Drosophila melanogaster: one gene and its partners. The protein of the gene in region 4 purifies or fractionates together with the protein of the main gene of each other region. This does not show direct contact. Each region holds a gene or a part of one and is shown on either strand. Other genes may lie near its edges.

Region 1 (7,519 bases), 4.0 Mb from region 4:
ATACCTAAAAACATACCTATATCTCTATTTATATAACTGAATGAGCTTAAACTATGGTAACGCCTAAACCTAAATCTAAATCTAAACGACTCCAACTACTTTATATGAGTGTAACCGTATTGTTTTGAACAAACAGCGTAACTAAACAAATCGTAGAGGGATAATCAATGAACTTGCATAAATACGTAGGTATAATATTAAATTAAATTAAATTAAAACAATTCAACTGGCATACCAACAGTCGACAGGTGTTCAAAGCTAAAAGAAACTACATATAAAGAAACCGAAAATATCATATGTGTAAAATTGTATGGCTGCTGCAAGAAGTTAAAATTGCCAGCATGGAATAATACAACTAAAGTATATAAAAGTATGTTTTTAATCTTAATTGGTGTCTAGTCTATGTTCAAGACTTTAAAGCAACAAATTCTTGGAAATTTTCGAAACAAAAAGAACGCGAGGAGATGAGTTCGAGAAAAACATAAATAATAACAATTATATCAAGCGATTAAAGTTATAGAAATTAATTAAGGTGCAGAAAGTGCTGGCCATTTTCTTCCACAAACCAACAACCACAACACGCACACACACTCCACCCAATACAACAACACACACGCACACACACAAGCCATGTTGAATACTGTCATCAAGCAAAGCTCAAAAAAATAAAAGAATATTTAAAAAATCGTTGAAATCACCGATGACAAGCTCTAAATGCGCAAACTTCAAATTAAAGTCACAGATGAAAGAGTTCATTAAATACAAAAATAGTAAAGCCTATTCGTATTTTAACTGTTGTGTTGTAATTATGCATAAAGCGTATTAATTATGTATGTGTAACAAAAATATAAGAGAAAAACAAATACAAACGAAAAGAAAAGAAAAACAAATAAAGAGTATGTATTACTAAACAAAACAAAAGCATATTTGCAGAATTGAAGGTGTAGACACTGAGAGAAAAGGAAGCACACATTTCATTTAAATTAAGCGCCGAAGAAGCTGCAATAACGCATTAAAAAGCCAATCAAATTCAAAGTTTCCTGCTTTTGCCATTAACATTATTATTAATATTATTTCCCTTATTATCATTTACCGATGCCAAAACATTGATTTAATTAACGAGCGGTTAAAAGAATGGCAAAGAAAGTTTATTTATAAGACCGAAGCGATAATGATTATTTAAATATGAAAGAATTCAACTAACTTCATATTAAGATGTCCTTGTTATGTCGCAAAGAATTAATAAAAATAAAAGTGAAAAAACAATTGAAAACCAGAAAAAGCAAACATGACGAATTAATACAAGTTTAATAAATGCGATAAAACAAATGAAATGATATTTTCAAATGGGAACAGTATGGATTTGGTTAGTACTCTTGATGACTAAATTGGACTTGCAGAAATCGAGGCACGAAGACATATTTTTTCACTGCACTCATACGAGTACCGACCAATTTAATTTATTACGCATTTTATTGCACTGTGGCCAATGATCAGTTAAAATAAAGCAACGTTCCACTTTGCTAGTGAACCTTATCAAAAATAAATAATTGATTATGTAACTCTTGCTCTTTAATCTCAACACCCAATTACCTCGTTGCGTCTATTTTTCAATATTTCTTCAATTTAAAGCACATGATTTTGTTGAATTTATAATTTTTATTCACTTAAAAATGTAGCTCCAAATACACTTATAATTTTACGGTGTTTAATATATGTATTTATCTTTAAATGTATGTGTGTATGTGTATCGTTAATAATTATGTTTATAGAAACTCATATATCGGAGCCACTCTACCGACAATGCACGAATGATTAGTGTGAGGCGCGGAATAGTTCGCCAATTAAAATGGTTTCGGATTAGGCGAGCCCAAATCCAAATGGGAACCTTCTCCTACTGCACGTATCCGCGACCAAGAGTAAGGATGGTATCAAAGAAGTGAATATTGAATCGGGTATGTCATCTGATTTCGCCATCGGCTGGATGTCTTAGCCAATGGTTGCTGTAGTAAGTTACCGCGTCCAGGATGCGAATGTGATTGGTTTTGCTTGCTCGGTTTTACGGAAAAAATTCATTTAAAAAGTTCCATTTTGTGGTTTTGTTTTGCGGTGTAAAACTAGAAATCTAACTGTAAAGATCATCGTCGCCGTTGTCGCCGGGCGAGTTAACTGGCAAGTTGTTACCAGATCCTGAGGTGTTGCCGGTTTGACCGGGGAATCTGCAATAACATATACACTATCATCAGTAACCTGGATTCCAACAAGAAATGCCTTTCAATTCTCACCTGAAGTTCTGTCCGAATCCACGGGACTGCTGCAAAGTCTGGGCAAACATCTCGTACTTCCTGATGTCATTATCGGACACCGAACGGCGAGCGAACTTCATGGCCTCCTCGAAGTGGGCGCTAGTAATCTCCGGCACTGGATCGTCCTCGTCCATCTGATTATATGGGTAAATAGTCAAACATAAACATTCTTATTTTTTGCGCTAAGCTAAATGACTTACGTCCATCGCGGAGTTCTGATTTTCGGCGCGCTCCTTCTCGCGACGAATTTCAGCCTCGATGGCCTGTCGGATGGCCAGCTTGCAAGCCCGCTGGCAGATCTCGGTCAGATCGGCGCCAGAGAAGCCCTGCGTCACCTTGGCGATGTAGGTAAGGTCTACTTCCTTGGCCAGCGGCGACTTGCGCAAGTTAGCCTTCAGGATAGCCTCACGCGATTTGTCGTCGGGCAGCGGAATATAGATCAACTGATCCAGACGGCCCGGACGGAGGATGGCCGGATCGATAATGTCCGGGCGATTGGTGGCTCCGATGATGAACACATTCTTCTTGGCTCCCATGCCATCCATTTCGGTAAGGATCTGATTGATCACACGATCAGCGGCGCCGCCAGCATCGCCGACATTACCGCCACGGGCTTTGGCGATCGAGTCCAGCTCGTCGAAGAAGAGCACACAAGGAGCCGCCGAGCGGGCCTTATCGAAGATGTCGCGCACGTTGGCCTCAGACTCGCCGAACCACATGGTCAGCAGTTCGGGACCCTTGACTGAGATGAAGTTCGCCTGGCACTCGTTGGCAATGGCCTTGGCCAGCAGCGTCTTACCGCAACCAGGGGGTCCGTAGAAAAGGACACCGCGACTGGGCTGCATGCCAAACTTCAAGAACTTGTCCGGATGCTCCACTGGGTATTGCACCAGCTCCTGCAATTCCTTCTTGACGCTCTCCAGACCTCCGATGTCTGTCCAGGTGGTGTTGGGCACCTCAACAACAGTTTCACGCAGCGCCGATGGACTGGACTTGGTCATAGCGTAGCGGAAGTTCTCCATTGTCACGGCCAGCGACGCCAGCACCTCGGCATCGATCTTATCGTCTTCCAAATCGATGAGGTCCATCTTCTCACGGATTTGCTGAAGGGCAGCCTCAGAGCAGAGTGAAGCCAGATCAGCGCCCACATGTCCGTGGGATTCGGCAGCAATCTGCTCCAGGTCAACATCATCATGCAGCTTCATGTTCTTGGTGTGAATGCGCAGCACCTCCAGCCGTCCAGTGGCATCTGGAATGCCGATGTCAATCTCACGATCAAAACGTCCAAAGCGACGCAGGGCCGGGTCAATGGAGTTGGGCCTGTTGGTAGCAGCCATAACGATCAGATGGGAGCTCTTCTTCATGCCATCCATCAGGGTCAAAAGCTGCGACACAATGCGACGCTCCACCTCACCGTGGGTCTTGTCACGCTTGGGGGCAATAGCGTCGATCTCATCGATGAAGATGATAGCCGGCGAGTTTTTCTCGGCTTCCTCGAAGGCCTTGCGCAGATTCGATTCCGACTCTCCGGCCAGTTTGGACATGATCTCCGGTCCGTTAATCAGGAAGAAAAAGGCTCCGGTCTCGTTGGCCACAGCCCTGGCAATCAGGGTCTTACCGGTACCCGGGGGACCGTACATAAGAATACCACGCGGTGGCTTCACACCAATGGCCTTGAAGAGCGATGGATGCCGCAAAGGCAACTCAACCATCTCCTTGATCTGGGCCAGCTGCTTGCGGCAACCACCGATATCATCGTAGCCAACGGCGTTTAGGGACTCCTCCTCCTCCTCGCGCTTAATTGGATCACCGTCGCAGAAGATTACCGTCTCGGGAGCTACGATGCAGTAGGGCTCCGGGTCGGTCAGCACCACCTTGAACTCAATAGGACGCATGGCGGCGCGCACAATAAAGTTGTCGCCCATGTGGATTGGCCGATAGGCCTCTAGGAAGTACGGCTTCAGATAGATCTCGAACAGGTTGCCGGTAACGCCTTCGGTGCTTTCGTCGATGGGCAGGATGCGCACCCGTTTGCCGTACTTGACGTCCGGGCAGGACTGCACGGAAACCACATCTGAAAGATGGACGCACAGGTTGTTGCGCACCACGCGGTTCATGCGGATCTTCTCGTCGGGACAGGTGTCGTCCGAGAGCACGATGCACACCGTCTCCTTTCGGCGCTTGCCCTTCAGAATCACGGTGTCGCCACGGAAGAGCTGCAGCTCATCCATCTTCGCCTGATATAGTTTAAGGGGGAAAAAGAACAGCCAAGTCATGTGAATTAGCCATGCGATGACGTGGCCTTTGGGAGAGTGAATCTTACCTGCGATAGCGACACCACAGAGTTGTCGTCATTCTGCGCCTCTTCCACAATCAGTCGGTTGGGACGGTCCTTGCGCTTCAGGATCGCCGTAGCCAGATCTTCACTGTAGGGTAGAAGAAAAAAGCATCGCGTAAGACTCGTCGCTAAAGAAATATCTTATGTCTTATATATAATTTGGCCTAACCGCTTATCGAACGAGTCTTTCGGCTTCATTTTCTCATCCTGCTCGCTGTGATATCCCCGCATAAAGTCCCTCGTATCCCCATCATGATCCATCTTATCGTTCTTGCCGCCAGACATTGTTTTTTTTGTTTTTTTTTTTGTTTTTTTGGATTGCCTTTTTTGTTAGTTTTGATAAATTTATGGAAACTACTTTCACTAGTAATACGGAATGGAACTAAGCATCTGGATAATTAGGCCTGCCGAATCATTTTTCGTTGCTAACGTGATGATGTCGATCAATCTTTATTGATAGATTTTTGAACATAAAAGGTTATCACCCTATATCGTTCATAAAAATCTATATTAATCGGAATAATAGTACAATTGTTTATTGTCTTTAGTTATAAAAGTATGTTTGTATTTCTTGTATTCGATGCCAACTTTTTTGGCGCCATTTGTTATAATAATTTCTAAACTTTGAGGTAAATTATGCATTTATTGTTACTTAAACGATATGTTTTTTTTTACTTCTGGCGAGTTGAGGGAGCACAAAGACTTTTCTAGAATTAATGCAATATCAAAAAAGGTATTACTAATAGGTAGCATTGAAATAAGTGGTTTCGGCATATAGTTTAGGATTTTCGCGATTTATTATAGAAATAGCTGCCATATATGTATGCAGTATTGTTTTTCGTATCCAAAGTTATAACTACAACAACCGGAAAATTGTATCCTCCAGCAAAGGATGACTTGTATTTTTGGGACAACAAAGGGAAATCGTAAGTTTTCAAGCGGCAACAACAACTGCAAGGGCAGTAACACCAACAACAACAACAACGTACTGCAAATGGCGATTCTCGCTGGCGTTTTTTTTTCTTCGGTTTTTAGGTTTGCCCTAGTTTCGCAACATTTTGCAACCGAGCAGTGGAAAAGTCGCGGTAAATGTCTTTGTCTCGCGGAAATCGGCGAAAGCCTTTCACAATTAAATAATAGTATGTCTGCGATGTGGCCCTTGCGTATTTTTTTCGGCTCAATGACTGAGCGAAATTTGTGAATTTCGACTTGGACCGACACAGTCGGCGCCTATTTCGGCGTCCAGTTCACTTACCCCTTGGAATCTGCCATGATAAACTAGTTGACGTTGAACTTTTTAACTTAATTGTACAATTCGGCGCGACTTGGACTATTCGTTGAGCTGGAAATCGGCACTTTTAGTCAAATTCAAAGATGAGGCAGCAGAAACAGATTGGTGATGTGCGTTACCGGACATTCATCGATTGGGCTTAGAAAATATCGATTACACGCTGCGATGGTTTGTAAAAGAAATTGAAGTGGCAACGCTAAAGGAAAGAGTGGCAATGTGTGCAGGTGCCTAACTTGGCTATGCTCGCTGGCAGATGATCGCTGCTATGAAGCCATGCGTGATAACGTAGCTGCTTACGTTTTTATTGAAAAAGTGCAGCATACTTTTCGGCTATGTCTATATCTAAAATATATGTAGGAAGTATGTAGAACTCAATCCGTCTATTTCACTTAGTTGTAGAAGTTTTGGTAGTAAGAAAAAATCTTCATTCATTCATTTCCCTAGAACACTCGGCCATCAACCTGTCCCTACAATAACTGCTCAATCGCAGCTTATGCTCGTAAAAACTTTTTAGTATTCATGGTTTTGGCATTAACGATGCCAATTATGGCAGCGTTTTATTTAGCTTTACTTTCAGTTTTATTTTTTAGTACTTAAGAGAGTGACAGCGACGTCGGCAGAGAGGAGAGCAGCGTCATTGGGCGTGGTCGCTGCCCCCAAAAGAATGGGAGCAAACTCCATAGAAACGCAGAACGAATTCAACCAATCGCCTGCAAGTCTCTTGTCTTCGAAGAGCGCCTGCGCAGAGAGCAAAAGAAAGTGGCGAGCGGAAACCAGTTTTTGTGACGATGAGGGTGACGATGAAGAGGAGTGGGGAGTCGGGGTGGCTGATAAAGATGGCCGTCGCCTTCCGCGGCGCAGGAAGCAGCGAAGAGCGGGGGGCAGGGCAGCGGAACCGCCTCAGACCCAAAGTCACAATTATGGGGCACTCATTCATTGCGGTGTATGATGCAAACAGCGCTCTCCTCGCTTTTCTCTCTTTTCCACCAAACTCTGCTGTACAGTCCGACGTCTTTAGCTCTGATTTATTCACACGATTTTTTGTTTTATTTTACTATCTTGATTCTGTATTATACTTATTGTGAAGATACTACTTGACAAGACGACAAACGGTGTAACTCCATTTATAAAAAATTGGTTAGTATTGAATATGCAAAGAAACGCTATGATATGTTTCAAAAGTCTTTATCCAGGTAATTAATTATTAACTAAGATGGAACGCATACTTTTTTGATTGAAAATTGTTTGCAAGCAAACATAATTTATTACCTTTATTGTTCTTTTGAGCAGCTATCAGCTAGCAATATTTTATGAAAAGGAAATGTTTTAATTAAGTTACATCCGGAGCCTGATAAATTATATGTACATATAAAACTTTGTATTTCAAATAGTCGATGTTTTTTACTTTTGGTTGCCCTTACGGAGGCTCGACTGTACACCTCGCATCTCCAATCCGTTTAATCAGGCGTCCAAGGAGCCGCACAACGGCGAGGATGGAGCGTTCTCCTAGTTGACGAGTTAACAGCAATTAGACGTCGACGCCTCACGCTGGATTCGCTTTATTGGAGGTTTATTGAGCGGAAT
Region 2 (9,875 bases), on a different chromosome or scaffold from region 4:
GGACAATAAGTAGTACTGAAAGCAAGAAAGAATATTACAATTAGTTGTCGTATTATTGGTGACTTTCCTTTAACACACCTCCTCACTGATGCAGTGTCCATTCTCCTGCTGGATCCGCACAAAACGGTCAATCACATCGTTAAGGCCCGGCGAGAGGTGCCGGAAGAACTTGTGGAAGCCATGGCGAACAGCCAGGGAGGCGAATATTGTATTATTCACCAGTGCTGACCGCAAATCCGTTAATGCGCCTGGAGAATGCTGGCGGGGATCTTCGTATAAATGCCGCGTAATGAGGTAATCTAGAACAGCATCGCCCAGGAACTCCAGACGCTGATAGCAATCCGTCAATCGATTGGGCGTGTAACTGGCATGTGTCATGGCTTGCAACAGGTACGACCGATCCCGGAACTTGTATCCCAAACTCTCCTCAAACTCCTCAAAGCCGCTTAGTAACTGGTCCAGCTCCTCCGTAGCATTTGGAGCAAAGTGCAGCAGTGGACTACGCGGCGTGGGCCATGCACCGTAAACGGTGACCACATTTTCGGCATTCGGTTTTGTGCTACCGGGTATTCGTTGCTCCTGGTTACCCCCGTCCAACTGCCTTGTGATAGGGAGCACTCTCACGCCCAGCCAGGCCATAAAGAGTAAAGCCCCTCGGGGTCCGCACTCAATGAGATAGGCTCCAATGAGGGCTTCGACGCAATCGGCAATAGACTTATCCGGAATGCTGTGTTGCGAAACAAGGTTGTAGGGAATAAAACAGCTAAAATCATTGCAGCTATCATTGGAGTCGTCAAGTTGTCCATTTTGGGCACCCCCATTCTGCTCCAAGCCCAGGGCATCGGCTTTTTCGCGAACCATCTCGCAGATTTGCACACTGCTTAGGTTCTTAATGTCTAGCAGATCGGCCAGCTTCCAATGGTGAGTGGGGATCTTCGCCTCGATGAGCGCCTTCTCTAGCTCCTTTGGCACGTAGTAGCAGGGTGGCAGCCAATTGTCGTGCGGCTCGAATTTAGTGGCTATCATATATTCACCCAGTCTCTTACGTCTGCCCAGACGATAGAGATTGAGATTGGCAACCTGCTTGGAGCGCAGGTGACTTAGTTTTCCCTCGTGCACATTCTCGTAGGTGATGTACAAGTAGGTGGTAATGGCATACTTTAGAAAGGAATCTCCAATTGTCTCCAGTCGCTCCAGATTGATGCCATCGTTAGCATTGGACATTGTGAGGGCTTGCAAAATGATGCTGGGACTGGGTCCTGGATGGCCCACTAGATCCGGTTGTCGATCGAAACTGAAGCCAGCTGGTAATATGGCTGAGGTTATGGCCTTCGTGGAAGTAGGTGGCTCAATTTCAATTCGTTCGTATTGCAGTTTCAGTTGCTTTTCATCCAAGTTCAGCCGATGATGATCGTTATAGTTGTCAAAACTATCTCCGCATCCCATTACATTGTAGGTCTCCTGCTCATGTCGCGCTACCCAATCTGCATTTAGCTCTACCAAATCCGACAGCAGAAGCTCGCGCCTATCACCCAGCTTTTTGGCCAGCACATCTTCATTTACATACGGCAGCAGCTGCTTCAATAGCTCCATCATCGATACCTTTGCAACCTGAGCCTCAGCGGCATCACTTCTTTTTAGAACCAACTGCTGGTCGTGCGGCACCAACATGCCGCCGGATTCTATTTCCGTTTTGAGCTTAGCTATGGATTCTTCATATCTTATAGTGGCAGGTTCCTTCTGGTCCTCATGCTTAAAATTGAATCCAATGAGCAGGTTCTTTGTCTGCTGATACTGCCGCTCGTTAGCATTGGTCGCCTGGATGATGGACAGCTGCTTCTGGCGCTTTTCCACTTCCTGTGCGGTTTCAATAGTCTCCGCTTCATTCTTGGAGGTGAACGCAATGCGTCCCGCATCGATATCATCTGCCACATCGTCGTCATCCGAACTGTAGTTGTGATGCATGTAATTGAGCGGACCTGCGTTATCGTCGTCATCGTAGCTGGAACCCAGCGAATTGTCCGAGTCATAATAGTTAAATGTGGGCTTTGCCGGACCCTTTGCTTTGCCCTTGCCACCCTGCTTATTCTGACTGCTCTTTGGACCCTTGAAGCCGCTTTCGCCATTGCTCACATCCCAAAATGTGGGCGAACCGTAGCGCGTTTGCTGATCACCTGTAAGATGTATTAGGGATTATTTCTGATCCTTAGCAAGGGATTTAAATAACTTACAGAACTTAACGTTTGCCGGTAAAACTGGGAGATGGAAGGCGTCATCCTCGTCGTCGTCTTCTTGGTTAAAACTAGCTATATCGTCGGCCATATCGTTTGACCAAGTGCCTATCTCAATGAAGTCATCAGCCTCTTGCAGCTTCTCCTCTCCCTCAATGATTAGTTCAATAGCACTTTTCTCAACCTTATCGTCTTTTGAATCCTTATCTAGTTGGGTCTCCTCGCTAGTCGGTTTCTTTTCAACATCAGCTAAGTCTTTGCCATTAATAGTATCATCCTTAAGGGACTCCTTTTGTTTGGACTCCCGCGATTTCTTGAGCACCTCCGATAGACTCCACCCAAAGTCCAGCATGGGCCACTCGAAATCCTCATCTTCGATCTGTTGCCTTCCCAGCCCCAGATCCGCAGAAACCTGTTTCCGAATATCGTCGGCCAATAGAAGACCATTTATGCGGTACAGGATGCAGGGCAGGCACACGGCAGTTCGCCACAAGGAGGCGGGGAATGGATGCACAGTGCAGAGCTCTGGCACAAGGATCTGCTTCTGTTCGAGATTCTCGCGCTTTGCCCGCTTTGTCTCCTCCGAACTAGTGGGCAGAGCAACGCCCTTGCGATTAACGTATCGTGGCGTGAGGAAGTTTAACCGCGCACTGGTGTGATCCACGTCCAATAGCGGCTGCGAGGTATTCTGTATGGTCAGACCATACTTGACGAGGTAGTAGTGCTTGAACGTGCGGTAGTTGTCACCAGGGAAGCAGCTGAGTGGGGATAGATGTGGACATATCTCCGCCACATAGAAATACTGCGGTTGATCCTGGTTGCGATACCACGGCATAACGACGGCATCCTGGAAGCGTTGCGGATCAAACGGCTGCGCCTGGCGCTCCTCATCGGGCACTGCCCGTGGCATTGTATTTCCATTCGCTTGGATCAGCTCCAGAAACTGCCAGTCGATGTGCTTGCCGCCAGCTGGTGCCTTCACGGTGGGCACAATGAATACACAATTTTCCGTGGAGTCCGGATCGAAGAGCATCAGAAACTTTTGCAAACGCAGTACATTGGTGAACGTGTAGTTTAAAAATCCGTTGATGCAGACTATTTGTTCGCTAGTTAGAATCACGCGTTCCTTAGCTAACTCCAGGGAAACCTTCACCTCACCGGAACGCGTGAATATCGAGAAAGCACTCAGCTTGGGTATCCGTTTGGTGGTTAGAATGCCGAATCCCTGCTGCGCATCTTCGGGCGGATAAATCTTGCGTCCCCGCGTGTTTTGCTCTTCGGGAATCGGACATTGGAGCGTCAGTTGGATAAAGTACAAATAGCATGGCGCTCCGGCAACGGGACGGCAATCGCAAAATTCGGATGCAATGCGTTTGTAATAGTACTGACGACGCTTCGTTGTTCCCGGACGTGGTTCATCGCTTAGCTGCACAATCTGTTCGTCCTCTGGCTCCAGTTCAAAGCACTCCCAGTCCGGCTCCAGGGCACGAAATCCCTCCTTGCCGATAGGCTGCAACTGATCGTCTAACTCACCGATCCTGTGCAGTTCCACGCAAGCCTGCAAGGCAGCCAGTCGGCGGGCCAATGTTTGAGTTGGCATCGGAAGACCCTAAAGAAGAGTATTTAACAAATCTTAAATAATTCGTATTACAAGTACTTACCACAATGTCATGCTTCAATGGCGAGTTGATGGGCAGACGGAGTGTGTACTGAAACAGGGTCACTCCAGCCCTTTCGTTTCGGGTGCAGCGCCACAACGCCGTCAACTTGGTGAACGTGTCGCTTGGCAGTCGGGCGCAGTACTTGTTGACCAAAGCTATAGCAGAACCCAGATCCACGGAGGCGCCTGTTAGCAGGTGCGGCTTGGGTCGGTATGCGGCCAGGCAGGCACTAAAACGTTCCGCCTCACTCTGCTCCTGCTCCGGCGGCTCTGTGTTGGCGCACTTGGATAGCAGCATCTGCTCGATTTCGCGATACTGTGCCATTTGATGCACCAAGTCCTTCGTGGTGCTGGCTAAACTATGAGCAGTATCGATTTCGGCTGTAGTATCACTTGTGTCTTCTGGCTCCGTTAAAGAGCTCAGCTCGCACTGGAAGCGTCTGGATTTTTGTTCTGTACTGCTCTCGCTTGGAGACGTGTTACTCATGCTGACGGCTTCGTCGCTGGAGTTGCTCGTATCCAGCTGCGCTGCGGCTGGCAATTCGTCCTGGATCTCCTGCAGCTTAATGTCGCACGCTGTCGGTGGTTGTTTACTGAACACTTCGGGGTTGAGGATCTTCACGGTTCCGCGTGCCGTGCCAAAAGTATAGGGATCCGAGCCGGACGAGTTTGGCATCGCTGAATCATCAGAGTCGCTGTCCGCCTCTGTAGTATCACCAGTCGCGCAAATATACCGATGACTCCGATCGGTCAGCTGCACTGACCCCACAGTTGGGCTTTTATAACTCGGAGCGACGAGAATGACATGATAGGCTGGAGCAGCACGGGCTCGACCTTTGCACTGAACGTAACTGCGATATGTGGTTGGCGGATCCCAGCGCACAACCAAATTGCACTTGGGCACATCGATGCCCTCTTCCAGCACCGAAGTACCGATCAGGACATTGCAGTCATGCATGCGGAAGCGCTTTAGCACCTCTTCCTGCCGCCGGTGCTCCAACTCAGCCTCTTTGGGCTCCGTGGTGGGATCTGCCACCCGGTCCGTGGTGTACTGGCAGCGTAGGAACTTGAGATCGGGATCACGTCTGCTAATCTCCGCTAGAAGCTCAAAGAGCACGCGAGCCGTGTGGTTCTGGTTGCAGTAAATCAGTGCGCAGAGCGTGTCGCTGCCATCATTGTGATCCCGGTGGTGGCGCCTGGTGTACACACGTCTACGAGTTCGTGGTTGTGCAGTGTTGGCACCAGAGCTAGGTTTCGGCTTCGCATGAGCGGGAGTAGGAGTAGGAGTCACCCGAGCGGCGCTTCTGTTCGTCTGCCTGTCCTCTGTCGTGTGCAGAATCTGCTCAAGAGTGGCCACCAGGGCTCGTGTCTCCGTCGGCGGTTGGTCCATTTGATCCACCATTCGGCACTTGCTTTCCAGCGTATGAGATAACCGATTGAAGTCCGCCTGATCCACCTGATGCCGCATTCTGCGCAGTCCGTCCGCTTGGGTGTGCACCTCTTCCGGCTTGAAGCACCTCAGTGTCTGCAACAGACGTCGCACCTTGGGGCTGGAATAGCGTTCGATGGTCTGGCGTGAATCGCTGCCACTTCCTAAATGTCGATGGAATGCGTGTTCGCAGAGGGAGTACAGTTGGATAAGGGCCGTGCTCACTAGGCAGTACAGCAAGTAGTGACGTTCGTGCGGCGTCTTCACCTTTAACTTCTCATTGCATTGGTAAAAGTGATGTGCAGCCCGCTGCGTGCACCAAGGACCCATCTCGTGCAGCACGACCAGTAGTGAGTTGATGACGTTCAGGGGGTCCACCTTGGGATCGGGTATGTCTTTCAGTTCGTCCATAAACTGGTCTGTGCCGTAGATTTCGTAGGGATCGTAGCGGTGGTCCAATAAAAAGGACTTGTGTGTGTTGAGCACATCGGCAAGCACCAGGGACAGTTCGTCCATCTCGAAGGGGGCGCACTGTACGATGTATTCGTGCGGTCGGGAACAGTAACGCAACACGGTGACAATATCACTGGCCGTCTCGATCTGGCAAAGCACACTCTGCTCCAGGGTGGCCAGCATGGCGCTCAGTTGCTGCAGCTCACATCCGGCGCTGTGCAGCGGTCCAGCGAGTCCGAGAATCCGTGGCCTGTCCGCCGGTGGCGCTGGCATAATGTGATTCTCGAACAGAGGCCTTATCCTCTGATAAACGGCGCTGTCATGACAATCTTCCAGCACGATCAGTTCGACGCTGCTCAGCAGCAGCTCGCGAGTTTCGAGCAGATAAAGAAATCCCTCTGGCCGTAGGATGGAAACGTGATAGTCCGTCCAGCAATGATCAAAGGGAATTTGCATATCCGGCTGCTCCTGCCACACCCGCAGGTCAGTCAAGTGGGTGAGCATCGTGTAGATGGAGCATGGTTCCGTGCTGGTGCCAACCTCGCAACTGAGATAGACACTGACACGACCATGTCGGCGTGCTCGACGCGACAGCTCCTGGAGCAGCTTGAGGGCTATAAACTCCTTGGAACTTCGATGGCCCAGGCAAATAATCGTGTTCCGCTCGTAGGCGGTGGCCAGTAGCTCCACCTGAAAGTCGCGCGGCGTGAACACGGTGGTGTGCAGATTGTTGTCGCACCAGTGGAACGCCATCGTGGCTGAGGGGATTCACAAAAACACCACTGCCTCTGCGAGATTTCTATCAGAAAATCATCCAGAGCCGGCTACCAGCAGAATGCCAGTGTGACCAGGGTTCGGAATACCTTTCGAGGTTCACTTCATTGGCCACACTTACAAGTGGCTTGAAAATAGATTGCGCCTTGTATATTTATATTTTGTTGATAGCAAAAGTTTTTAAATTAACTTATGTATTTACGGTGAACTATACCCGGTAATCCTCTTCTTTAGCACCATAAAGCGGCGTTCCAAAGCTCCTTCCATGCGCCGCGCTGCAAAGCGAGAGAGCGAAGCGGCGCCTCCCAAAGAGGAACCACAGTCACCCTGCTCCTGGCCCAAAAACAATCTACCCAGCGAATGGGGCACCTCAGGGGGCACCCAAAGCCTGGGACCTCGAGAATTCAGGGCGGGCGAGAATCCCCTCAAAGATAGCCGCATCTTCCATGTGCTCTGGCGTAATCAGACCACCAAAAAGCACAAAACGTGGACTGGCAACGGAACGCTGGTGGTCACGGGATCCATAGTAACATTGAAGGATGACACCGGCAAGGTTGTGGACACCATGACATACTTTAAGCAGCGGCAACTTCAGGAGAACGATCAGCTGGAAGTAGGCAGCAAGGATGTCGAGATTCAGGAGGAGATTAAAACCGTCGAGGAGTGCCTTATTCAGCGCCAGTTGGAAATAGCCAACTGGTGCCAAAAAATAGATGCCCAGAATGGTTGTACAGACACATCGCCACCACCTGCTGACAGTGCACCCGTTAGGTCTCATCTGCTCAAGAAGATCAAGCGCGAGGCAGATGCCTTTGCTCCACCGCATTTGGAAATTAGCCAACATAGAGAAGATAAACATGTCTCCTATGCAGCCGCCGATTCCAGCACTTCGATGGGAAAGAAAATCTATGAACAAAACACTTTGAAGATAGAAAACCCTACCAAGGAGTTCACCCAATCGGAATATCTGTGTCTATTAACTCCAGCTGAACTGCAGAAAAAAATATTACTCTTTGTTTCTGAATATGCACAAACATCTAAAACAGTAAGATAGATTTAGACCAATTTACATGCATAAACAAATCAAAAAACTTGTATTTCAGGAATCGTCTACGTTGAAGGAAATCTTCCAAATTGTATGTGATCATCCTGTGCTCCTAAAAACTTTGGGTACGAATCCAGTGTTTAAGGAAATAATGGAGGTACTGGACGCCATACTGCCGCCTTGGCCAAGCATGGGACTTTACGACTCCGCCAAGTTCGAGTTTCTACACGTAATGCTGGATCACTTAGTGGCGGAGCGAGGCGAGAAGTGCTGCATCTTGGCAAACAGTGAGGATTGCCTCACCCTGGTCAGGGGATACTGTCAGAGTTATAGTTTGGACCATGCGCAGCTAGATGGTCCCCAAAAAGTGAACTTATTTAATTCTCTTGCCGATGGAGAACCAATGATTGGCTTGATTTTGACCAGTGACTTGTCGGCGCTTCGAGCTCTTCGCTGCAAACACCTAATTATTTATAATCACAATTCCAGGCAGCAAGCCAACCAACTGCTGGCCGTTGGAGCAATGGATACCAAAATATATACTCTCATCACAGCCGGAGGTTCTCCGGAGGAGTTGCAGTTCTATGGGCATATGGGTGATGATTCTATAGAAGATCTTCAGAATTGCCGCAGCCAGCTTATACCGACCGCATCTAATGTGAGTACTTCGAATTCTTATCATATTAATAAATCACCTATTGCATTGATAACCTATAGAATCTAGCGGACTGGACCAAAAGTGAGCCACCTTTTGACCGTGTTTTCTTTGAGGTGAGATTTGTATTACATTTTACTAACTTAAATTGCGTAAATCAATGTGACCTTACAGGAAACTGCTATATCGGATAGTCTGGATTGTATTCAACTGGTTTATTCAAGAAAAGTGAGAGTAAAAACTTAAACAAACAAAACGTTAACTTCAAGAATATAAATGTAAACAAAATTATTTTGTTGAACTAAATGCTTAGCAGTTGAGTTAACCTGGAAGATTTGTGCTTTTTTTTGGCCATAATTAGTTCTGAACTATTTCGCGGAATCAACCTTTTGAGAACTTAGTCCAAACTTAAGAACTCCTGCAGTTTTTCAATGCGAGTGGAGTAGCTATTTGTTTCCTCGTCGAAAGTGATTTCGCTGCAGGTGATAACGGACCCAATGGGATAATTTTTATCCAGCCATTTGATCTGCTCATCGGTGGGCTTCTCAGGCACTCCTACGAAAATCGAGTCATATAAATAATATAATTATCTTTGGAGAGCCTAATTACCAATTAAATCCAACTGTGTGGTCATTATAGGGAAGATAAACTGCGGCGGATAGGGACGTATGTCGGTGACATGTGTTGGCACTATGTTTCCGTAGTCAATGAACAAAATGCTGGGATAACCATCTCCTACTAACTCCACAGAGAGACCTCGACGCCATTTGCCTTCGTACTTAGCTATGCAAAGCTCATTTATCCTAAATGAAAGAGCGCTTTAGTTAAATGGACAAAAGAAAACGGCGAGTAACTTTACGGCGGTGCGTAGGTTGCGCACTTGGCAATCTTTTCACCATACTCCTGTATGTCTCGCTGCATTTTGGTGACTTCGTAAGCCAGATCTATGGAGGTGCAGTAGATAAAGCCGCACTGGATGAATGTGTTGTCCATTACCACTACATTTATGTTCTTTCCGCAGTGCAAGGGAATGTATGGAAGACACTGAAACCGAATAAATGCAAATGACAACTGTGTACTTGATGTTTTTTTAAGTTCTGGCTTACGTCCTCTTTGTATCCCAAGTCCGAGACAGACGGCTCAACAGGAGTTAGGATGGTCTTGAAAAGGCGGTTGAGGCTCCTATTAATATCGATCTCGGTCATCACCACGACCTGCATGCCCTTGCTGGTATCGTACTCACGTGACGAGTACTTGATATTAAAAACTAGGGACTGGTCGAGTTCGTACATGACTTCCCTTATGTTGGGACCCACAAAGCGCCTGGGAACTCCGCGTAATTTAACGGCTACGGGATAGCAGGTCAAACCAGCTAAATACGAACTGCATTCATACAGTCTTTCCAGCTGCGTGACTTCAACACTTCCGAAATCAATGAACACTACATAGATTTCCTTGATATTATCCACGTTTAGCACCATGGCGCGCGACATATGTCCCTCGAACTTGTAGAGCACAATTTGTCCGCAGACTGGCGTACTCTGCAGTTTGGAGGCATCTTTGCCCAGCATCATTACCTCCGTGAGAACTGTATAATAGGCGATGTCAATCTGAATGTCCGCCGAGCG
Region 3 (6,720 bases), on a different chromosome or scaffold from region 4:
GGCTTTTAGAGACCATGCTTCTGGAACGTTCCACTGTGCACCCACTCAATTACCCGACTACCTACTGTACCTTCCTCCCCAGCTGTTGTGGCCTTGGCGCGCATATTTGCGCTGACCAACATCGATAATTCCAGGCGCTAATTGGACAAAAACTCTTGAATTATGCCGTACCATCTCCGACTACAGTATTTGTGGATAAACAAGCTGGCTTCCCAGTCAAAAAGCCCCCTTTTCCAATTTGGCCTTCAATTGTGATTGTTGCGGTGTGCATGGGCCCCGTAACCGTAACCGGGCCCGGACCCATCCCAGTGTGCTCGAAATCAAAGCAAACGCTCGAATATCTCTGCAACTACATACATACATATATATATATATATATACATTTATATAGCCCTATGTGCAAACCCAACTCAAAAGCCTTCTGAAGAAAGACAACCTGAATGTAAGTTCCCACTAAAAGTGTGTATTTTTCTAGACTTGTTAGCGTAATTGTTGCTTGTTTTTGTATTGCTGTGAGCAAACGTATTTGTTGCACTCTTCAATTGTTGAATAAAATAAAAGCTTTCGCCTACACCTACAACACCCGCCACGTATGAGTTTCATTTCACATGGCCGGTGCCCACGATGCACACGCCTAAACGAAATGGGAAGCTGACTAGTTAATGGTCCGCTTGCATAACGATGAGCACACCAGTGGTCCGGACTATTCTAGACCCCCTGCTTTCGTAACCACAGACGGACTAACGTACTGCGATTTGCAGCTAGTTAAATCTGTAAACTCTCGGATGCCCTGAAAGTAGACAGCTGACAAGAGCACCCCCCATACATCTTAATTATTCGATTGGATGCAATCCAACTGACTGGCTTTATATAAATCTACTTTCCGTCTTTCTAAGTTTCAAGTAGTGTTCATTATGTGGATGACCAGATAATATAAACAATTAAATTATGCACATAGTATTCAATAGTATTCATCACTCTTTCAACAAAGAGCACCAACCGATCACGGAAAAAAGCGAGACGGGGATATCGGATTTGTTGGATTGGATAAATGTCTAAATATATAAAGTACATGCCCACAACCAAATGTCTTTGAAGGCAAATCGTTTTCAATGATTATAGCCGCATCTTCTCAAGCGAAATAAATTGAATAGGTCTTTTCTCCCAGATAGATTTGTACTAACAATAAAAATGACTTGGGGGTCGTAAGGTTCACACACAATTGTTTTATTGAGGCTAGCCCGAAGTTTTCTTTTTTTCATGAGTTCACATCTTTCTGTTAGCTTATAAAAACACGCCGCTTGAGGGCGTGAAATGTATAATAAAAACCAATGTAAACCTAGTGATTCCACTGAAGGGATCAGCTACATCTTTACTCGGCATCGTCGTCCTCATCGTCGTTGGAGCTGATTCTGAAGTAGCGCAGCTCGTACGAGTCCTTTTCGTTGGCCACCACACGGATCCAGTCGCGCAGACTGTTCTTCTTCAGGTACTTCTTGGTCAAGTACTTGAGGTATGCCTTGGAAAAGTGAACGTCGGAGCTGACAATGAGCTTCAGCTTGGAGCGCTCGAAGGTGACGTTGTTGCCCAGGTTGTTCACCTTGCCGTTGACCTTAAGGCGGGCCTTGATGTACTTCTCCTGCGGGCGGAATAGAGAGGGTATTCCGGGTTAGTTCAGCTTGGACTGGGCTGGATCTTTGGGGCAGCTCCTGCTAGCGGTAAGCTGGGCTAAATGTCTCTTTCTTTGTTAAGGCTAAGAGTCGAGTGGGTAGAACAGAGAGCCCAAATAAAGAAGAGTGACCAATTTTTTGCTCTGCCACTGAGTACACTGCCATCAGAGCGACGCATAAAGCTCACTCTCTGACGGCAAATCGGCGTGGCCTGTAAAATAGATTTATCTAGGTGATAGATGACCAATGAAGGGGCCATGGAACCAATAGGTGCGGTACTTTTCGGACGGCGTGCCAGTAAAGGAAACTTCTTAAGGGGGTTTCCAGTCAAATGACTCAGTCGCATGCATGCGACTATGTACCTTTCCCCCAGTGGTTCCATTCCCCGTTTGTGAATGCAGCATAAGATTGTAGTTACCTGATCCCGTGACGTAGGCGACACTTGAACTATTCAGCGCCCTGCTGAGAAGCGCGTTTAGCGCACTCGGTTTGCCCACTAGCGGGTACTTAGTCAGTTGGCTTATCACTTGGCATATGGAAGAAGCACCTAATTCTAACTTCTACAAGTTGGGAAAACCTGCAGTGCCACGGAAGAGCGGGCACTGTGAGCAGGGCGCACTATGAATTTTGGCCTGAGGCGCCACGGATGTGGTCGCACTCAACCCAGGGCCCACCACGTGGCGGTACACATAGCACGGCTTGACGCTGTTCACAGACGGTTGCACCACTGGCCAGTGCCAGGTCACTGGCGGTCAGTGGCTACCCCGTTGTGCAGTGCCCAGAGCCCCTTGACTACAAGCGCGATTGGAAGGCGCTGGGAAGAAACGCGTGTGCCCGCATGAGGCAGCGAAAGATTCGACTTGGTTTAAAACGGAACGGACACCTACCTACCCTTCCTATGACTATCATCTACATTTAGCGTTGTTCCAGAAGTTGTTAACCGCCGGCGGCACGGGAAAGTCCGCTGGCAGTTTATCGCAAAATGGAGTGAACTCACTATAACCACAACTTTTTATCCAGAGCCCCTGGTTAACTTGGAGGGCAGTGGAAAGCTTGGTGCGGTAAGACTATACAGATTTCGATCTGGTTAATGCTTTCAAATGTTTTGGGAGAACAATTTATAGTTATAGACGGCACACTACTACTTTTACCATAGACAGTGAAAGATACTAATGGGCAATACATCCCCCATAACATCTTGAAAGCAACGACAGATTGTAACCAGTGCTTGGTACTGAGCGGTGAGATTTGTGATCATCTGTGTACCCCATGTACTTACGAAGTCGGCCACATCCATGATGCTATCCTCAGCAATGTTGGTGCAGTCGATAGTGAAGCGCAGCGAGACCTTCTTCTTCTTCTGTCCCTTGCCACGCAGCACGTTCTTCTTGACCACCTTGCTGGGAGCTGGGGCAGCCTTTGCCTTCGGCTTAGGCGCGGGCTTGGCGACAGCAGGAGCAGCTGCAGCCGGAGCGGGAGCAGCAGCAGCCGGGGCTGCGGCCTTGGCGGGAGCAGCCTTCTTTGCTGGGGGAGCGGCAGCAGGCGTGGAGGCAGCCTTCTTGGCCGGAGCAGCCTTGGCGGGAGCCGGAGCAGCAGCAGCCTTGGCGTCCTTCTTGGGAGCAGCGGCAGCGGGAGCCTTCTTTCCGGCATCCTTGGAAGCGGCGGCGGGCTTGGCAGCTGCGGGCTTGGCTGCCGCGGGCTTGGCAGCAGCGGCGGCTGCCTTTACATCCTTGGCCGCCTCGGACGCCTTCTTCACGTTCTTGGCCGCGGCGGCGGCGGGCTTGGCGGCCTCAGCCTTCGGCTTCTCCACCTTGCCCTTGGCGGCGGCGGCTGCGGGAGCGGCCTTCTTCTCCGCTGGCTTAGCGGCAGCGGTCTTGGTATCACCCTTGTTGGTCTTGGCCTGCTCACCGAAAAAAAAAGCAAAAAAAATCACACGCACATTCGACAAATGGAATATTTCGCTGCTGGCCACCGACTAGGGCTTTCCGCTGCAGAGTTACACAACTTGGAGCTCCCGGGCGCCGGTGGCCAGTCGCGAAACTCATATTTCGGAGCACTTACGGTAGGAGCCATCTTGTCAGTCGAAAACCACGAGGAAAAAGAACAGAAGGCGGAAGCGACGGCAAGAAGAAGAGACGGTTGGTGTGGCCGCAGCGCGCCAACGCCGTATTCCGATAAGCCACGCTGCAATTGCATCCCTGGGTTGGGAACTCCGCTATCCCGCAACCGTGTTCCAATCCAATGCGCAGTTATGTTCCCAGCGTTCAGCAAAAAAATGAATACTCTGCTTAAAAAAATGATGTTTTCTTACTATTCAGACAGCCTTTCGTACAGCGAATATTAAAACCTATGGTCAATATGCGAACAAGGCCTTGCTATGCCGCAACAACGCTAACGTCCCTCGAATTGCGCTTGAAAGTAAAAGCCATCATAAAGAAACTTCCAGACATAAAGTCCTATAATTACCAACACCCCGAACGTGCCACGAGATTGGCCCGCCCCTGTGACCATATATCATAAAACTATGGCGAGGAGCAAGACGAGAAGAAGCAGCGAAAAAGCAAAAACGATGAAGAGAAGACAAAGAGGATGATGAGGAGAAGAAGCCGCGGGACGTGCATTTAATTTTTAGCTGGAACCCTGATCACAGCGCCATTTGCGCGGCATAAAATCACAATTGCGGAGTTCGACATTGCATTGTTCTCAGTGCAGATCTGCTTTTCAACCGCCCCGCGGTTGCCCCCACAAATTGGCGATAATGAGCATTCTGCCGAAAAGGAAACCGATTGATTGCCTCCTGCGCCCGCTCCACGTGTTGCCCCTTTCCCTTCCCTCTTCCACTTCCAATCTCGATCCGGTTCCTCCGCCACGCCCCGTTTTCGGCTAGCAGCTTCGCATAATTTCCAGTATTCTATTTCTATTTCTATTTCTATTTCCAGTAATCATGAATTCCCCACTTCGTACTAACAATTCATTTTGATCCTTGTGGCGCCCTGGGGATTGCGTGCATTCAAGTCATACTTTTCGCTGCCGCTTCTGTTTCCGACCCGTGTTTGCCGCTTTTTAACTGCCCAGATTGGCTGGGCACCAGAGTCCTGATCTCTGTGCGCACTTCACTCCGTTGTCGCAGATGGAGTCTTCTTACCTGGCCCATCCCGATGGGCCAGAAGGCCTTATCACACGGACCCGTCCGTCGCTCGCTTATCATTTAATGAACGCCCAGCTTCTATTCCCAATCCCCGTTCTTATCTCGAGTAAAAGAAGGTCCACTCTCGGCAATAGTTTCGACACTGGGAGAAAGTGCAGATTGTATCTTCGGTCTCCTACCTGAACGCGGGCAACATGTTGCAAGGGAATTCCAAAGGCCTAGACAACCGAAAGTATTTTTCACAGTGATCCCAACCGCACCTTCGACTGCAGCGCAGTGTCTATATATGCAGCGCCAATCGTGAATCCATCTACTAATTAATTGACTCTTTGTGTTCGTCTTATTTCGCCTGTAAGCGCTCACTTGCCCATGCTGCCTCCATCTCCATTTGAGTGGACGTCTGAGCCAGATATCCGCTTCCAGCTAGATAGCCAGTCATCCGAGCCAGGCGCGCATCTCATCTCTGGCGGCGCTTTCGTTTCATTAAAAGCCCGTTTCAATTTTCTGCATTTTAGTGCCTGATGCACTTTGGCATATCGAGGGAATGCTCTTCGTTTTTTGCCATTTTTACTGTGTTTCTGGCCGCCTCCTTCGGCTTTTGACTTTGGGACCGGCTTTGTGGTCTAACAACATATATTTGCACTTTGTCCGTCCCATGTGCTCTGCTTCTCGTCTGCGGCTCCTCTGCCTGCCCATCCTCGCTCGCTCTGCAGTCTTCAGTGGCCATGCCCGAAGTTTAACCCATGGGAACTCAAGCATACAATGCGAAATATTATGTCGAATAAATGAACTAATGAAATACGATTCTTCCGCGATCTTAAGGATTGCCTTCCTTCACCTTGGGTTTGGTCAGTTGCACGATAGTGCGTACGGCATGGGTTAATGTGGGGAGCGAGTGTGCAGATAATTTTGACATTTATCCCTTATCTGCGGTTCGCTTCGGTTGAAAATGGAAATTCTGAGGAACCCCTTGCGTTCGCATGCGGATTTGTATCTCTGTGAGGTCGCTAAATTAGCACCTAGACGGGCCGCAGAAAATCGCAGGGGGAAGTGCCTATTGAGCTCCCCCAAAGCCCTTCATTTCTTGGCGGGCAACTTTATTAGCACCCGGCGCGGCTCACATCTTCGCCGACACTGCGCGGGACTATCTCCCCCTCCTTCCGCCAAGATATGGCAAATTATATCTTAAGCGCCCTCCGCCGCGAACAGTTTGTTGTAGGCCAAGCCCTCGCAGAGGTCGGATCGAGGGCTTTGTCACTGTGTCGTGCCACCTTTTAGATTATTTTAAATCTCCAATTTTGGGGTTTTTGTTGTGCGGGCTCCTTCCTATAGAGGCTGAACCTCCCATGGCTAAATTCAGGCTTGCAGCTCCCTCGATTGGGCCTGTTGAACGATTTGTGCATATAAACGAGACCTAATTCCATTAGGAGATTCGCGAATGCCTTGGTGTTTGTATGTTTCGCCCTGGAGCCTAGCCAAATGTCTGAATGAGCTTGGAATCAGGTGCTTACGTACCCGCCAGCCGAAGATTTATTTGGCTGGTGTAACAGGAGACAGGGGATAATCCCATGTAACGCTCTTGGTACGCATTGCAGGCTTCTCCCCTCCCTTTGTGCTGGGAGTAACTTTAGATTGCTTTAGTCTGAGCCGCGGTAATTCACACGGAGTGGCCAACTGACGAATGATTCCTGGCATTGTAATTATCGCATTACTTGTATGGCTTCTGCAAAGAAAGAACGAAAGAGTTGGCAGAGAGAAGTCCGCTGGGTGACGGAATGAATTGCTGGCGGGCGCCATTCCCCCCTTCTCCTGGTATTTTGATCCACGGGAAGAAATCAGTACCTCCATGGCCATATTTCGATTTGTTTGTGTCTGGCCCCCATCCTCCCTCGAGTATCCCGC
Region 4 (6,629 bases):
GCGGAAAAACCGCAGAGTTTTCATTGCCGCCGTGAAAAAAACATAAATAATGTCTGTGCCTTTCAGTGGCGCATTGCGGCGTTCCGGCGGCATTGTGTCCGCCATTGGCAAGCAGCTGAAGAGCGTGAATTTGAAGGGCGTCAAGCGGATAACCGTGCAGTTCGATCCATTCGCGGAAAATGTCAAGTCCACACGGTGAGTCGGAAAAGCGCTTTTCACCGATATCGATAGCGGGACATGCGCACTACACCCCCTATTCACCACTCAAATTGGATAGAATTTTCACGAAACCGAAAGGAAAAAGAAAATCATACTAAGAAGAAACTGAGAAAAACCAAAAAGGGTGCAGTGAAGTATTCACACCAGAAAAACCGATCCTTCGAGGGCTAAAAAGGTGATGGGGTTGGGGAATGAAATAAATGCGTGCCACACTCACCGTAGACTTTCCCAATGATGCCCACGGTGGAGGTCATCTGGAGATCCGGAAAAGTCAGCGGCAGCGTGTGCGGATGGAGCTGAGCTGGCCCACCGGGAGCCAGCTCACGCTCCGTGGACATTTTAGTCGGTGTCGGCGTCAGTTTGAGGCGGCGTCGCTGCTCCTGAAAAATCAAGTAAATCGTGATGATAAATCAATAATCTAGATATCTATTTCAATTCTAATTTCAGGGAATTCCTCTTCCTGCTCTCCACACCCAAAGTGGCAGCTACGAATCCCAAGTGCGTGGTCAAGCCAGAAATCGTCTGCGATCGCCAGCCGGCCAACATCAAGTTTGCCCTGATTGATTCAGCGCAAGGTAAGAATACCTAAACTGGGACAGCTGAAATATCTAACTAAAAGGAACCAAAATACATATGAAATATGTATTGAAAAATTGGTTTCCTTTTAGCGTGGGCAACTAAGTTAACCCTTTTGAAACTGCAACATTCAAAGAGCAAACACTTATTGATATTATATCATTCACAGAACAAGCCCAAGTCAAGGAGATCCGCTTCAACAGCGATAACCTAAACACACTAGAGCTGCTGCAGCTGTGCAACAAGCACGTGTCCAGCTTGGCACCGCGCGAGGAGATCACCAACAAGGTCCTGACCAAGGCGGAGAAACAGAAACTAGCAGGAGGCGCCGGCGGCGGAAAGAAGGCAACCAAGAAGAAGTAACCATCAGGATGGTGAGGAAGCACAAAGGAACACTGGCGGTGATCGAGAAGATCTACCAGGATATACCCGCATTCTCCGACATCTTCACCGAGGAGAGCTTCTACATGTTCGCCTTCTGTTTCGTGTGCGCCACCATTCTGGTGGCCTTCATTCTCTCCCGGTTCATCACCATCAAGCCCGTCGATTTCTAAGCCAATTGTATTGTTCAATTCCGCACACGTACTTTTCAAAATATATATACGCTCTAACATGTAACAAACACTCCGCACTGTATTGTCTTTTTGGCCCGACTGTGCAAAAGGGCAGCGCTCGATTCGATTCGGTCAGCCTGTCGTTTGTTTCATTTTTTTTTCGCCATTCGAAACCAGTTTTTCGGTCCCTGGCAAACCGGAAAATCATCTGCTCCTGCTGCTGCTGCAGCGGCTGCTGTTTGCTGCGCTTGCTGATGTCAGCGGATCGGAGAGCCGCCTGCCGTCCCAAAGCTTATAATCACAATGGGGCGGGAGGAGCCAATGGTAATTGGACCGCAGGAAGTCGACCAAATGGGCCATGCAAAGTGGACGGTGGACGTGGCTGGGGTGGACCACTACAGACTTGTTCATGAATTGTGGCATTAATTTGTTACTGCTCCAAGTGAATGATCATCTGCATTCTTGTAATGACAACAAGGATGCAACAGGCAGTGGAGAAAGCTTCTCTGTTGCCAAGACAGCTGTTGAGATGAATTGAAGTCTTATTCTAATGGGGGAGCAAGGAAGAAAGTGCACTGTGCAGTTCAAGCTTTGAGCTAAAGTTTTGAAATGGCGCGCTCTAAATGTGTGAATATGTACGTATTTGCGACGAAATCGATGGCTGCAACTGGCAACAATCTGTTGGAGTGTGGCAGCTGCAAAAATGGTTGGTGAAAGTTGCCCCAAAAAGCTGCGGCACCCTGTGATTAATAGAATTCTGTTCAGAGTGCCCCCAAGTTCAATGTCAGGCTGCAAGCTTTCTCCCCGCCTGTTCGCCAGCCGTTTTGAAGGAGTCACGTCGTAAAAACTTTCACCACCCACTTTTAAATTTTGAAGTTGCGAACGAGGTATTATAGCTTCGATCATAAGATTGCAAATTGGAGCTTGCGCATTAATAACATAGCAAATTTAAGTTTTTGAAACCGATAAGTTTTTTATACTTATAAAACCTTTTTTTAATATGTCGCTAGAAACGTTAAAAAGCTTTGTTTAATTATAGCATAAGTCCTTACAAATTGGTTTTAAATTACTGGTTTTTGTTATAAGTTAGTAACTCATATAAATTTTAACTCCCCAATGTTTTGATAAGATTTTAATCGGTTTAGGATTGGATCATATAATCCTATCGCAATAACTGTATAAAAGGGTATTATTAGTTTGTTAAAAGTTCAAGAGCATGTAAACCTGTCGACACGAACTTCTTCGTCGATTCGTGACGTAATTCGCGAGGGACGTGGATGGCGGGGATATTAACGAACGAAAGTTCTATTGGAAGCTAAGGATGTGACCTTTCTACCAAAACATAAACACTGTCTGTACGGTCGTCCCTCTCGCACCCCCGCGCTCACACGCTTGGCGCTCTTGAAAATTTCCCAAAGCATATGCTCAGGCGCCATTAGTGTTTTGGTTTCCTGTATTTTTGTTTTTTTTTTTTTTTTATTTTGGGGCACTTCCATTTTACTTGCAGCTCCTGCAGCTGTTCTGGAAGCCTCCATTTGCCGGCAAATTGAAAGATTCATAATTTTGTACTTACCTTATCGCAAAATTGCAGCTGACTTTGGTGTGTGTGTGCGCTTTTATCAGCTTTATCAGCGGCAAATCAATCGTTTTTTTTGGTGAATTCCGTTTAATGGAGGGGAACTCATTAAGGAGTTGAGTGGGGTTTGCGTCTCGACTGGATTTAAACCGTTGCGGACGTTACTTTTCCAGCGCTAATTGGAAGAAACGAGAAAGATAAGTGCAGGAAATGGAAATGGAATTGGTTAAAACGCAGTTTGTGCGGCTGCTGTTGTTGTTAGTGTTGCCAGATCGTTGCGCCGGAGATATGCATGAAATTGCGAGTCCGGGGAGCTTTTTGTTTACTTTGCTATTTGACAACACACACTCTTAAGCAGCTCCTATTTTATTTAGTTTTATTTTTTGCAAGCTTCCAGGCCTGTTTAACAGCGCGCGTGTGTGTGCGTGTGAGTCAAAGGTTGTCGGTGTGCGTTAGGCACTCGACTCTCTCTCTCTCTGTCTCACTGCCCTCTCTCTTCGCGCTTTCTGTGTTTGCTTTGATTTTTGTTTTTGCCGCGGCTTTTAACTTTTTTATGACAACTACTTTGGAGGGAAAAGCTTTCCCCACAGCTCCGCGAAGCAGTCATGCAAAAAAAAAACATACAGGCTGCCACTAGACACACACACCTTCTCACGTCCGCCAAAAGCACCAACACACAAACACACACAGGCACAGAGATTGCTGCAAAATGAAAGCACCAACAACAACAGATACAAAAACATCCAGCCCGCAACGCAAAAATTGGCGAAAAAATATGGCAATTACTGCAGATCTGGATATATCCGGGTTTGATTCGCCTGGCGGAGATCGCTTGAGATCGTTATGTATGAGAATTGAGAGTCAGCTTCGGAAAATTGCGAACGCGCGAGTTTTGCACAAACACAACTTATTTGCTGGCCGTTTTGGAATTGAATAAAATAAATATTGTTGCGTGTGCCTGTGTGTGTATATATCTGTGTGAGACGGCTCTCGCTGAGAGAGCGCGCAATTCGCGCCAGAAAGGGACGACCAGTGTGTTGCGATGAGAGAGCGGGGCAGCGAGCTTTTGTTAGGGGGACACCAACAAAATGACCTTGTCGGGATTAATATTACCGTTACTTCCATATATCCCCCCATTATTAACTTCAAAATTTAAAATAAATTGTACACGTTAGACTTTGTTTTTTTAAATTAAATTAGGTAAGCCAAAAACCCAAGTATAATGAGTATAATGATGCATTCTGAAAAGAGCTGGACGAGTACTTACCAAAACGCGTATCCTTTTATTAAAGTAGTAATATTTTAAATATAAATTAATAAGCCGTTTTGATGTATATCAAACACACAATTAGATAGATAACTACCGATTAACTCCCATTTGAATTTATTTAGCATCCAAAAATCACTCAGCACATGAAAAAATTTGCTTTCGGATTCCATATCAATGACTACCAAGCCGCACACGTAAGCTACTTTTGCTTCTCCTCCTGTTTTTCGGTAGCGGGATCTGTGTTCTCATCGCGGGCCACTGAAGTTGGGGTTTCGGGATCGCTGGCCTTCTTCTCGCTGGCGGAGGGTTTGCCACCCATGGTGGCACCGGGGGGCAGACTCTTCTCCAGAGCACGCACAAAATCCTCTAGATTGCCAGAGAAGGCGGCGGCCACTGCTTCGTTGGACAACTCGAATTGCTTGATCACAGGTCCCAGCTGGGCCGATTGCAGGGCACTGGAGAACTGGGCCAGAGCCTGCTGGAACTGCGGGGAGGTGATATTGTCCTTGATCTGCTGCTTGCGATCATCGTCCACATCCTCCGACTCGGGCAGGTGCACGATCAGCGTCTTGACATGCTCCGGATCGGCAATTATCTGATTGATGGCATCGGCGCCGGGTAGGGCCGTCGATAGGTCAATATTCAGGGATCGTCCTGCGCCATGTTCGGGGGAGAGATTGGATAAGTAGGCTTGGAATGGATTGGCATAGGCTCCGGTCGATTTTGACGCCGTTGTGGTCGATGTGGTTGAGTTCTTACCGGGGGCATCCGCATCAACGGAGGAGCCGGCACCTTCGCCGACCTGCGAGTTCACATTGCTGCTGCTGCGGCTGCTGCCCGATTTCGATGGAGCGCTCGGAGTGCGCGGCACACTGACGTTTTCGGGCGTCTGCAAGGCCGATGCCCCACCGCCACCCGATGAGGAGGTGTTGCGCGACGAGGGCGTCCGGGAGCTGCGGAGAATATAGAAAGGAAAATATTGAAAAAGGGGGTGAACTCAAGTTCTGGCTTCATTCCTTCGATTACATGCTTATAAACAATAAAAACGATACCCTGTAAGTTAAGAAGCTATCTACTTGACTAGTTCTTGGACACTATGGCTGCAAGGGTTTAAATGCTCACTTCATTTGGCCCAGCAGCGAGCTGAGACCACCCATCTGGCCAACGCCGCCGAAGAGCTGCATCAGCTGCTGCTGCGACATGTTGTTGAGCATGTACTGGAGGTCGCCGTCGTTGCTGCCGCCGCCGCCGCGCTGGTGGGCGGATGGAGGGTTGTTCAGCAGCTCGTTGATGCGGCGGCACTGCTCGTCGTCCTTGTCCGTCTTGGGCTCCTGCATCCAGAAGAACATGCGGCGTGTCGATGACTTGAACTTAAGCACATAGACACGGCCCGTCTTGCACTGATCGACGCGCTTGTACTCGAAGTCATCGGGGAAGACGATGAGATCGTCCTCCACCTTGCCGGAGGTGCGATCCTTCCAGCAGAAGTGCATCAGGCCATCGTCACTCTGGGTCATGTAGACCAGGCCCTTGCGCGGATCCGGATGCACCATCTTGCCCACCATGTTCATGCGACCTGCGCGGAACTCCACCAGGTTGCTGCTGTTGCTGGAACTACCCAGTCCACTTTGTCTTCCAAACATGATGCGGGTGCTTCTTGAGAGCTGGCGAAGATTGGATGAAGAACGTATTGTAATTACGACTTTCTTTGGCGCATAACTCGAAAGTGTTTTATGGTGCCGTGATCGGTTTGGGGTTATTAGTAGTCGCTGCACTACTTACGGGATATATAATGCGTTTACTTTGTTGAGTTTATCAAAAATTCAGTGAATCGTCAATTCCCAATGACGAGCAAAATTTGTCTTCTTCTTACCTCAGCAGTGTTACCATCAACGGGTGAATTCTAACATTTAGTATTTCAAAACACTGTTGAACAAAATTCAGTTTAGACATTTGTTGTATAATTTAAATTGAGTTCGTTGAGTGACTTAGAAATCTTTCGATTGCAAAAGTAACAAGAGAGGTATAGTTTTTAGTTATTTAACACTCATTATTAAATAAACATAAACTAAAAAGCTCTTGCATATATTTAGGCTGACCAATTATTTCGATTTAGCGACTGAATTTGGCCGTTTTACACACAAGAACTGCATCACTGCCCACGCTGTTATCGATAAGCCGTCTGCTCAGGCAACTTCTGGTATTTCCAGAAGATTCGGACTGGTCACTCTGTCGGAGATTTCTTGTTTAAACAATTTCTGCTGGTTTTCATTAAACAACGAAAGGTCTTTGGGACTGGATCATCAAGAGCGACTTGTTAAATACAATCGGTTGACTTGCACATTAGTGTTGTTTCAGCCAATTAAAAAGAGTGCAACAACAGTGATAAATCAGTGAATTTACTGCATTCCTTGCGACGCAATTCCGAGTGGTA

Evidence for each region.
Region 1: the proteins of AGO1 (region 4) and TER94 purify together in Drosophila melanogaster (affinity purification with western blotting; 2 studies listed by BioGRID). This does not show direct contact.
Region 2: the proteins of AGO1 (region 4) and Dcr-1 purify together in Drosophila melanogaster (affinity purification with western blotting; 5 studies listed by BioGRID, with this or other methods). This does not show direct contact.
Region 3: the proteins of AGO1 (region 4) and RpL22 purify together in Drosophila melanogaster (affinity purification with western blotting; 2 studies listed by BioGRID). This does not show direct contact.

What each region holds. Positions count from the first base shown.
Region 1 is NT_033778.4:9,987,684-9,995,202, reverse strand, and holds TER94 (transitional endoplasmic reticulum 94), read right to left. Parts: upstream 5,001-7,519; 5' UTR 4,906-5,000; coding exon 4,814-4,905; intron 4,733-4,813; coding exon 4,630-4,732; intron 4,544-4,629; coding exon 2,507-4,543; intron 2,441-2,506; coding exon 2,286-2,440; intron 2,220-2,285; coding exon 2,126-2,219; 3' UTR 1,644-2,125; downstream 1-1,643.
Region 2 is NT_033777.3:22,734,505-22,744,379, forward strand, and holds the start of Dcr-1 (Dicer-1), read right to left. Parts: upstream 6,588-9,875; 5' UTR 6,527-6,587; coding exon 3,893-6,526; intron 3,841-3,892; coding exon 2,232-3,840; intron 2,175-2,231; coding exon 79-2,174; intron 16-78; coding exon 1-15. Other genes in the region: CG6985 (uncharacterized protein), read left to right, coding at 6,813-7,592, 7,651-8,250, 8,310-8,363, 8,422-8,493; vret (vreteno), read right to left, coding at 8,645-8,802, 8,857-9,050, 9,107-9,291, 9,354-9,875. UniProt on the Drosophila melanogaster protein: Endoribonuclease which functions in microRNA- (miRNA) gene silencing and, independently of its ribonuclease III activity, also acts in the short interfering RNA- (siRNA) gene silencing pathway.
Region 3 is NC_004354.4:761,353-768,072, forward strand, and holds RpL22 (ribosomal protein L22), read right to left. Parts: upstream 3,779-6,720; 5' UTR 3,744-3,778; coding exon 3,732-3,743; intron 3,571-3,731; coding exon 2,950-3,570; intron 2,735-2,949; exon of another isoform or gene 2,590-2,734; intron 2,459-2,589; exon of another isoform or gene 2,089-2,458; intron 1,883-2,088; exon of another isoform or gene 1,731-1,882; intron 1,640-1,730; coding exon 1,373-1,639; 3' UTR 1,208-1,372; downstream 1-1,207. Other genes in the region: CG5273 (uncharacterized protein), read left to right, coding at 1-9.
Region 4 is NT_033778.4:13,954,251-13,960,879, forward strand, and holds the start of AGO1 (Argonaute-1), read right to left. Parts: upstream 3,840-6,629; 5' UTR 3,712-3,839; intron 3,101-3,711; 5' UTR 2,923-3,100; intron 1,431-2,922; exon of another isoform or gene 1,350-1,430; coding exon of another isoform or gene 1,167-1,349; exon of another isoform or gene 1,159-1,166; coding exon of another isoform or gene 965-1,158; intron 795-964; coding exon of another isoform or gene 667-794; intron 612-666; exon of another isoform or gene 600-611; 5' UTR 558-599; coding exon 437-557; exon of another isoform or gene 248-436; intron 196-247; coding exon of another isoform or gene 50-195; exon of another isoform or gene 1-49. Other genes in the region: mRpL53 (mitochondrial ribosomal protein L53), read left to right, coding at 50-195, 667-794, 965-1,158; CG33155 (uncharacterized protein), read left to right, coding at 1,167-1,349; Rpn13 (regulatory particle non-ATPase 13), read right to left, coding at 4,395-5,148, 5,318-5,838.